Bombyx mori: one gene and its partners. The protein of the gene in region 3 purifies or fractionates together with the protein of the main gene of each other region. This does not show direct contact. Links are inferred from orthologs where the notes say so. Each region holds a gene or a part of one and is shown on either strand. Other genes may lie near its edges. The genes, in order: U4/U6 small nuclear ribonucleoprotein Prp31, U4/U6.U5 tri-snRNP-associated protein 1 and serine/threonine-protein kinase PRP4 homolog.

What was found.
Region 1: the proteins of serine/threonine-protein kinase PRP4 homolog (region 3) and U4/U6 small nuclear ribonucleoprotein Prp31 purify together in Homo sapiens (affinity purification with mass spectrometry; 3 studies listed by BioGRID and IntAct, with this or other methods). This does not show direct contact. The link is inferred for Bombyx mori from reciprocal best matches to the Homo sapiens genes PRP4K and PRPF31.
Region 2: the proteins of serine/threonine-protein kinase PRP4 homolog (region 3) and U4/U6.U5 tri-snRNP-associated protein 1 purify together in Homo sapiens (affinity purification with mass spectrometry; 3 studies listed by BioGRID and IntAct, with this or other methods). This does not show direct contact. The link is inferred for Bombyx mori from reciprocal best matches to the Homo sapiens genes PRP4K and SART1.

Annotation. Positions count from the first base shown.
Region 1 is NC_085116.1:12,759,642-12,763,404, reverse strand, and holds part of U4/U6 small nuclear ribonucleoprotein Prp31, read left to right. Parts: intron 1-3,758; coding exon 3,759-3,763. UniProt on the Homo sapiens protein: Involved in pre-mRNA splicing as component of the spliceosome. Required for the assembly of the U4/U5/U6 tri-snRNP complex, one of the building blocks of the spliceosome.
Region 2 is NC_085118.1:17,269,125-17,271,824, reverse strand, and holds part of U4/U6.U5 tri-snRNP-associated protein 1, read right to left. Parts: intron 2,484-2,700; coding exon 2,351-2,483; intron 2,160-2,350; coding exon 2,054-2,159; intron 1,919-2,053; coding exon 1,787-1,918; intron 1,527-1,786; coding exon 1,413-1,526; intron 1,330-1,412; coding exon 1,129-1,329; intron 1,024-1,128; coding exon 904-1,023; intron 832-903; coding exon 744-831; intron 431-743; coding exon 300-430; intron 86-299; coding exon 1-85. UniProt on the Homo sapiens protein: Plays a role in mRNA splicing as a component of the U4/U6-U5 tri-snRNP, one of the building blocks of the spliceosome. May also bind to DNA.
Region 3 is NC_085107.1:3,226,857-3,230,619, forward strand, and holds the start of serine/threonine-protein kinase PRP4 homolog, read right to left. Parts: upstream 2,509-3,763; 5' UTR 2,365-2,508; exon of another isoform or gene 2,172-2,364; intron 1-2,171. UniProt on the Homo sapiens protein: Serine/threonine kinase involved in spliceosomal assembly as well as mitosis and signaling regulation. Connects chromatin mediated regulation of transcription and pre-mRNA splicing.

The DNA of each region.
Region 1 (3,763 bases), on a different chromosome or scaffold from region 3:
CGGTACATTAGAAATAGTAGAAACATAAGACAGTGGTTAATTGACATTTCTTGTAGAACGTTTACACCCGATGTACCGTACGTAATTTTGATTTATAGTTGGCGTACTGGATCAGTCTTTTGTTCTAAACATAGACAGCGAAACTGAAGGTATTCTAGATATGCTGATGTATTTACATAACATAATAGATGTAGGTACGGCGTTGGCGTTATTGCGAGTGCTATACATTATTACGATTGGCACGCCCTCCTCTCGACCGATGTTAACCGCCACATCTGTTCTTCAAGTCAGTGTCTCTCAAATTTTATTTATTTATTGTATAAATTTAACACTTTTAAAGATATTCATGTATCTACCTACGGGTCGATGTCGTTTACTAGTTTAAAAATTAAACCGATGTCTAGCATCGAAGAACGGAGACACGAGTTATAATTAATTTTATTTGTTCCAGTGTCCATTTGCTCGACATCTCTGATCATCTGTTTAATGTTTATTTTAATAGTATTCAGTTTAGTGTTTATTTTAATAGCCCTTAAATAACATGAATGAATATTAATATGGACGTTTCAATGGCACGGATAACACAGAACCTCCAAATGATCATCGTTATTACTATTACCCAATTACGTTTAAAGTGTTTCAAATAATCTACTCGCATTAAATATTAAAATTAATCGTAAAATCGGATCTTCTTATTCTTTTTTGCCTTTCGCGGTTGAAACGATGGGCCCTTGGGGCCCTGAAGCAAAGAAATTTTTGTCAGAAATCTCCAAACGCTTGAAGGAGGCTACACGTGATGCTAAGGCTAGCTGATATTTTGCACAGAGAGTGAGTCTGGCTGTCCAACAAGGTAACGTAGCCAGTATCTTGGGAACTGTGCCTCCTTCAAGCGCATTGGAAGATTTGTTCTACTGTGTGAGTTAATTTAAAAATTAAAGATAAACATTAGACAATTTTTTTTTTATCATAATTACTATTTATCGTAAAATAACTAACATTCATTTATAGTAGATATTTCTTTTTTCATTCAATTGACATGTTTATTAAGCTAACATAGTTTCTAAGGAAATGTTTAGGAAGCTTCGCCGTAACCGATTCGAATCAGCAAAACATTATGCCCTCTCGTCTCTCTTACAGCGATGCTCTTAAGATATCCTTTTATAGGGTTATTGAAGAGAAAACTTTGAAGTTTGATCTGTAAACTAAACTAAACAATGATTGCTCTTGTACGCATATCTAGATATTTATTATTACCTCGATGAGCAGATAAGCTCTCTCAGCCCACTCGGTATTAAATGGCACAGCTCATAGGCATCAAAATGTCATTACCCCCCTTGACATACTGTCGAAGTATCAATTTTATTGCATAACGGCATTGGCAAAGTACAAACTGAAACGCATGATGTTTTGGTGGTAGGTACCCGTAGAGAGTACACCCTGCCCACTAGTAATTATGCAAATTTTCCTGCGATTCATGTTATCTATACTAATATATAATAAAACTGAACCATGCATCCGATTGACTTGAAACTTGGTATCCATGTAGAAAATACATGTACTTAATGGATAGGCTAATATTTATATGAGTGTTGGACTCCCTAGTGACTCCTCCGTTAGTGATGAGAATCTTTGTGGGGTTGAGAAATAATAACGTTAATTTTAAATGCCCAGCGAAACAGGCGGGTACAGCTAGTGTGATATATAATGAGCATATTTCTTTAAAAAATCCTACCCATCTGCAGGATTTGTGCCCCGGCAAAGTCGCATCTCGTGGCTATTCTTCTTCTAGCTTCTATAACGTCAGAAACTGTTTTATTGATTATAATGATTACATACTGTACACTGTCCATATTGTACAATTATCATAATAAGAAAATGAAGCAACATGATATAGAGGAAAACATTGAATAGATTGTGCTGTAATCAGTGGTAATTGCAGTACTTGTCACAGCTTGTGCCGATATATACGAGTAGTACTATTCATGAGTTTCGTCGTTGATTACGCGTAATCTCAAGCTTTTCTGATTGCATAAAAAATTGGTTGTCTGTAAAGTCGGTTTACGGACGATAGTTTTACGTGATAACGTCATAAAGAAACATTGCATGAATTTTATGAATTTAATTGAACGTTTATAGGTAACTGAATTATTATTATTTTGTATAATACAAAAAGGTATTATTTTCGATTATTTTTATTTTCGTTAAATTAACGCTTGGGCCGATCGTGCGTCTCTATCGCTTGTTCCGCGCTCTCGCTTGCACGCTCAGTCTCAAGCGGAACGTGACACTTTTTCGAGCGTGCAGCCGGTGTTCATCGATTTATAAGATGTTATTATCGTGTCAAAAACGTACAGAAGTATGTTGTATATTTGATTGAGCCTAGTACAAAACAAAACATTAATTGTATAAGTTTTGAAGGCAAAAGTAGACGATTGGTGCGGGTTAATAAGCGATCTGACAAATTTAATATAAAAATAAAATCCGTTTTATGAATTTGTAAACTTTTGTAAATACAAATACACGAATGTTGGTCTCAGAGTTGTGTAGTTGTGTAATTGCTTCTTTTTTTTATACGAACCTATTTTTTAGTTGAAATCGTCAACGAAGTTTATAGTACTTTAGTTTCTTAAACTGTCCATGCCTGATTCGTGTGGATGAACCCTTTGAATGGCGATAAAATCGATGACGTTATAGAAACAAAATATAATAAAAGGATTTAAAAAACCAAACCTCAACAAAATGATATGCACCACGAACAGGCAATTTACCGGACAAACCAAGTCATTACTTACTTACTTTGTACTATATATTCTTGCCCACTGAGTTTCTCACCGGATCTTCTCAGTGGGTCGCGTGTTCCGATCCGGTGGTAGATTCAGCCAAGCACTGCTCTTACTAGGGCCTGTGTTAGCAACACCTCCTGGTTTGAACTCCGAGAGCTCACGTACACGCTAGGGTAACGCTGATTGATATAGCCTCAATGCTATCAGCATAGGTAGGGAGAAAAAATGTAGGCAGTTCTAATATTGGGCAGTCGAATTCTTATTATAACTATATAAATTGATATACCACGAAAGCTAAAGTACATATTATTATGCATATGGTCACTGGTGGTAGGACCTCTTGGGAGTCCGCACGGGTAGGTACCACCACCCCGCCTATTTCCGCCGTGAAGCAGTAATGCGTTTCGGTTCGAAGGGTGGGGTAGCCGTTGTAACTATACTGAGACCTTAGAACTTATATCTCATATATCTATGTCTAGGAATGAGATCTAGCTGTCAAACGTGGTAAGAAGTTTTATATAAACCTGCTTCTTTCTAACGCGAAGCAATCGGGTGTTCCAATTTGCTGGGATAACCATTATTATAAGTAGAATACCGATTAATATATTCCAATTCAGAGCTCCAACTCTTTCTTTTTCGATTTCGTATTTTTAGTGCGGGCAGTGGCATTCTCGCTGTGGATTCTTAAGGGCTTCGGTAACCTAGTGACATAGGTTGGTCGTGAATTTATCGAACATTAACACACATTCCTGACCTATTGATCATGATCGTGTAGTAAAGAAAATCATATTGACATGAATGATTAACTTCCAGTGTTATTTATTGTCTTACGGATAATTCCAATTAGCATTACGTTTTACGTTCATTGCTTTTAAAGACATTTATCTTCAATGTACTTACTTGGTCGCAATTCGACCCGAAAAACAATATTTAAAGTAAAAATGAAATAATCACTATAGGTATAATTGTTCACAGGGTTT
Region 2 (2,700 bases), on a different chromosome or scaffold from region 3:
AGAACTCTGCGGTGGCGTCGAACAGCATGCCCTCCGGCCCCGCCTCCACCTGCTCCTCCTTCACGCGCTCCAGGAGTTCTTCCACCTGAACCGAACCAAGTTTTAGAACTAAACCTATTTACGACATCAGGCACTCAGTACAACAAAAAATAGAGTCAGGCGGGTGTAGCAGGTGACCCTTCACGGCAAACATTTTACTATCGACAGTTGTTTATCTAATAAATATTTTTTTTAATGACATTCAAATGCGATTATATTATTACCAGTGAACCTTTGAATCTATGAAATATATAAGATACCTTAGGCACAGCGGCATCTTGCACCTCCTTGAGCCTGAGGCGGCGCGCCCTGGCCAGCGCGGCGTGCAGCTCGGTGTCGGGCTCCGTCTCCTCCTCGTCCACCACCAGCGCCGCGGCCCCCGCCCGCACGTCTGCGGAGGGGACGACAGGTCGATTGATAACTAGTTTTTAGGGCACAGCCCGCTTTTACTTACATTTTTAGGTCGATAAGGAACAGGATTGTTGTAAAGTTTGAAATAATCAGAATTATGTAAATTATAAAAAAATATGTATGTTATGTATCGAGTTTTTATAAGAACTTTAATAATTCATTAAATGCGGACGAGCAGGGCGCGCCGACACAGCGGCGACAAACTATTCGAAACGGGGCTGAAATAATATGATGATCATGCAAACGTGAGATTAAACTACTACATATATATAAGACTGGAGGACGCGTCAGACCTGTGTCGTCGGTGTCGAGTGGCGCGGCGGCGGCGTCGTAGGTGTCCGCGTCGATGGGCTCGTCCTTGGGCTTGGTCCGCATCTTGCCCTGCACACAAACACACACGTACACACGGGTCCGCCCGCGCCGGCGCGACGCTCGACGAGCGGGGCCACTGACCTTTCTCTTAGTCTTCTTGAACTTGGCTTGGATCTCGTGCTGGTCCATGTAGTCGGCTGCGAGCTGCGGCTGCGGCAGCGCAAGCGACTCCATGCGGCGAGAGGCGGGGCCTTGCGCGAGCTGCACATACACAGTTACGTTAACGCACCGCCACGTGACGTGACGCGGCGTGACGTGACGCTGCGTGGCGTGACGCGGCGTGATGCGACGTGACGCGGGCCTCACCAAGAGCTCTCTGCGCCTGTGAGCGTCGAGAGAGGCTTCGTCCCCTATGACGAAGCCCTTGTCCTTATCGAGTTGGTCGGGCTGGATCTGCTCGTCGTACTTGGAGAGGACGGAGCGTCGGAAGCCGAGGGAGGCCTGCAGCTCGGCCTCCTCGTCGTAAGCCTGGTAGCCGGCGCGCGCCTTCTTGCGTTCTTCCACGTTCTGAACAAAACCCATTATATCATTTATTATGGTCTTTCACTGACTGATGTATGTAAGTAAAATAGTAAAAACAGTTATCTTACCTTCTTGTATCGCTCGTTGTCAACAATATTGACATTGATGAGCACATCCTCTGGGTCTTCAGCTAATATTTCTTTATCAGCCAACGTTAGAATGGTTTCACGTTCATCTTCCAACTGTACAGATTATAGATCTATTAATACAGATTTTTTTGTTTCATGTAGTATTTAGAACTAACACGTGTGGTCGCCACGAGATTAGAAATCGTGAAACGAAAATAATCAACGCGTGATTGAAATGCTCAAAGTTTAAACCAACCTGTGATTAGTACAGAACTAAATTATTTCGCATTTTATTAAATTTTTTGGATGACCACAAAATCAAATAGCCTGCTGGTATTCCCATTAATATATGGGGGGTGGGAAGGTGTGAGTACCGCATCGAGCTGGTGCGCGACCCGCAGCCCCCGCAGGCTGGGCGCGCGGTAGGGGGCGGGCGCGGGGGGCGCGCGGGGGGGCAGCAGGGCGGACACGCCGAACGCCGCGTCCATCTCGTCCAGCATGGCCGCCTGCGTACACACATGCTTCACATTAATATCTTATGTTGTCTCTGTGGTGTTTAGGTCATGGATCTAAACTGATAAAACTATTGATTTTTGATTTTTGTTCTCAGCAGCTAAAAAATGCATTTATTGTATGCTCACCCTTTTTGCAGCTTCTTTCTTCTGCGTCTCTATTGCTCTGGAGCGCTTCACCCAGGCCGACGCGTCATCATCGTCAGACCCTTCACCGAGTAGGGTAGTCTGTAATCTAAATGAAATTATGCATTATATTACAATTTTTTTTTATTAATTTCCAGTTTATTTCATTTGGTTCTTATTATGATGATCATTTATTCAAACAGTACTTATTCCTCAATATAATGTAATATTTTATCGTTTATTACAATAATATCAAAAAATTCAAGCCAATCAATGGAACAAAAATATAGTATTTCATACTTCTCTTCAATATTCCTCTTCTCCTTTCGCTCTTTTATTTTCTCTTTGAGTTTTTCTGTTTTCTTCTGTTCAGTGATATTAGTAGCCGGCTTATGGTAGAACTCGCCAAGGTCATCTTTGAATTTACCATCATCTGTGAATGGATTAAAACCATAGTAGAACTCACACTTAAACAGCAAGTTTTAGTTAGTGATCGCGGTCGGAAGACAACTGTGAACACAATATTAATAAAAGCTATATGTACCTTGATGTTGATTTGTTAATGACTTTAATATAATACGTTAATTTATCAACGCAATAAAAAAGAATTTAAAGTTCCTAAGTGAAATTATTTATTTGTTGGGGCTTGA
Region 3 (3,763 bases):
ATATAATGTATAATATCTAAGGGTATAAAAGTATAATTACTGGTGGTCGGACCTCTTGTGAGTCCACACAGGTAGATACTACTACCCCGCCTATTTCTGCAGTGAAGCAGTAATCCGTTTCAGTTTGAAGGGTGGGGCAGCCGTTATAACATACTGAGACCTTAGAACTCATATCTCAAGGTGAGTGTCAGCATTTACGTTGTAGATATTAATGGGCTCCAGTAACCAATTAACACCAGGTGGGCTGTGAGCTCGTCCACCCATTTAAGTACTTAATATAAAAAAATATATATTTTGGGACAAAGAAATATATTTGATGGTTCATCAAAACATAGGAGATCTATGAAATCTTTGAGCTGCCAATGGTCAAGAAATGATAAAAATGCTATTGGCCCCACAAGCCACAATTGTAAAAATATCCTAAACAGCTTGCATGTTTGCATATTTGATGAAAATACCCATCCGGAACTGGATGACTACATAAAAAATAAGGTAAGGCTCTGCTGGGAGTACTCTAATACCTAGCACACTATCTCATCTACATATAGTCCACACAACTAAGGGCATAATAAAGAGATAATATAATATATATGTGCATAATAAATTATATATTAATGATAGAAACTTGTATAAATAATATATAAGTTTCTATCAGTTATCTATTATATAAGTTTGGGCTCAGAGCCTCCCTTGTGTTAAATAGTAGCAGGTAACTTTCCTCAAATGTTTGAATGTATGTATGTAATTATACATTTTATCATACGTTTATAATAGGTAGTAATAAACTTTTGTATTTTTGATATAAAAAGTTTATAGCAATACTTAAATAATTAATAAATTATTTTTAGAATTTTTTTTTTATAGGAAGTGAATTTAAAAAGTTGTTATTTTCACTTTTTATCCTACTCAGTACATTTGTATGTAATGGAATTTTTCATTTAAATTTTCACTAACTTGAAAATTAAAACATGCATTAAACTCTGGTGACAACCGTATCGCTTGGACTTTTATTCCTATAAAAAGTAAGGATAATAATTTAGATAACAAAGTACTGGTCAAGCTGATTAAAGTGTATTACAAATAAAAAGCAATCTGCTTACTACCAAGGATGGCCCAAGTATTAATCAACACTATAATCAATGGCGGATCCAGGGGGGGGGTCATGGGGGTCATGACCACCTCGTGAGCTGGTTCCAGGACTTAGGTGGACAACTAATTGAATATAATGATTTTATTTATATATTTTGTCACCATACAGATTTTATGTAACTACATACCTTCAATATTTAATTAATTAAATATAATAACTTTGTATAATGGCAAACGCTTGGGAACGAACGCATCTAAATTTGACTATGTGACCCCCTCCTGGCGCCAAAGCTGGATCCGCCCTTGACTATAATAAACTGAACACAAACTTTCAACAGTTTAAAAGACTTTCACAATAAATTGTATCTCCTTTGATTTTACAATCAGTAAATAGAGCAAGCTCCACGTTTAATTTTTCCAAGTATATGGTTCTAAGCGCTTCTCCGGTTAGTAAATGTAATCTCATGACAACTGGTCCTTCTCTGGACTGTAGATTTTATTGGGGCCAATAACAGTTTTATAATTAATTATATTATATTATTTAGTTTTATGATTATTGCTCAATAAGCACATAAAATGACATCAATTTTGCAAAATAAATAAAACGATTTTTAAATAATGTATCACTGACGAGAAATTTTCATTGAAACTGCTGTCTTCAGAATTATTAACCTTAAAATTTTGTAACTTGGAAATACAAATTTTGCTAAAAAAAAATTGCTTCTTGATGTCACTTCAAATATATGGATGTCCTTATTTGTAACCCATTTTCTAATTATATGCTTAATGACTGATTAAACTACACTTTGTGAAAAAAAGTACTTTTGATAATATAAATCACGAAACTCTATAAAGAGTTCACTGATGTTTTTGAAAACGGAATTCATATAATCAGTGGTGAAAATGCTTTCGCTGTGCGCTTTAAGTTCACTGAGATTCGCAAACTTTTAAAACATTTCGTTCGAAGCGTTCCTATTCTTTTTTTTTTTTTTGTTAATGATATTATTATCCAGAAGATAACAATAGCGTTTTGAGAGACAATTCGCTAAGAATGGGAATAAACTTGATTTTTCTAAACATACCGCTATTCCCGTTGCAATCTTTCCAAAAAACAAACTAAATTACGAAAAAATCCAAACATTTGTGGGCATTGTTTCACAGACAAATAGTTCGATAAACTTTGAATAAATTCAATAATAAAAATGTGTGAACTGTACAGTAACTTAGAGAAAATGTATTTCTATTTAGCTTTAAATTATTGTAACTAAACTTCACCTTTAATGAGTAGGTTACTACTATTTAAGTAGAACAAAACTATAAAATAATAAACGTGACACTCTATCTATCAAAGTATCAAACCGTCACGATTTATTTTGTTTTTACAGAGTTCCAACTGGCAATGAAATTTATTCCATAAAACCAAATCAAGGCTTATCCTATAAGTTACCAGAAATCATGTACTCTATGGTCGATTGATCTTCCTAAATTTAAAAAAAAGAATAGAAACCTTTTTTACTTATAATGATTATATACATACCTATATTTTATGTGTGTTTATTTAAATAATACGCTAGTAAAAAATACGCTAGTTTAATGGAATGAAGAATAGATAGACTTTTTAGAAGTAACGCGAGAAGTAAAGTGGTATGAATTGTTTTACTGTGTTTCTTCTTAAGCCGTTTGTCATTGGGAAAGTGAACTAGTACGGAAAGATTAAATAAAGCTATTAGACGTGGCTTGTCAGTCTCTTTCAAAAAATCTACTGAAGTCTCACTAAGTTCCCATCATTTGAACTGGGACATTTCATCACATCTCATCTCGTTTCATTTTATTTGATTTTCTTCAATTTCGTCCCAATTTATAAGTTTTATATTATAGCTTCATTACATTCTGTTATGTAAATATTCATAATTATAGACTATATAAAGTCACCAAATGCTATAGGTACTTAGAAAAAAGAAGCAAGCCATTTAAGCAATGATGCCAACTTAGGAGATTTCTCCCTAGCTTAGGAAAAAATAAATTTATAACTGTGAATGTAAATGAGACAAATTGACCCAATTAAACCACCAATTTCTACAACTATGCACTCCTATTTTCTGATTTAAAGGATAAGACCACCGTTATACAATAGAGAGACTTTGACTTTGTGTCTAAATTTTTATAAAGGAAACAAAACTAATCAAAGCGATCGATTTTGTTAGCCTTCAGTATTATGTCGAGAGTCGAATAATTGCGTGGATGATTAGTATGCAATGATCACTTTGACTGTGGAAAAACTTGCAGACCTCTTGTGCTTTGAGGTATTGAAGCTTGTTTAAAGTATCAGACGGTTTCTATAATATGAGATTAAATGTAGAATTCTTCGTTTAAAACTAAATCTTGTGTTTGTTCCGTACATTTTAGGCCTAATAGACAATACAGTAAAGTAAAGTAGGTACAATCTTTGAATCTAGATAGATTATTCTCAAGTATGTAGTGTGTTAGGGCATATAGTAAGATAGGTGATATTAATATATATATAAGTTCCAGACAGATTCCCGGGGCTTGCAGTGCGCATTACAGTATGCTATAATAAATCTATTGATTGATAGCTTTGACATGCGCAAAGAGCCAGAGTTACGGGTGCATGGCATCTACAGAGCCTGGAATCAGCTAGAGACGATCTAGTCGA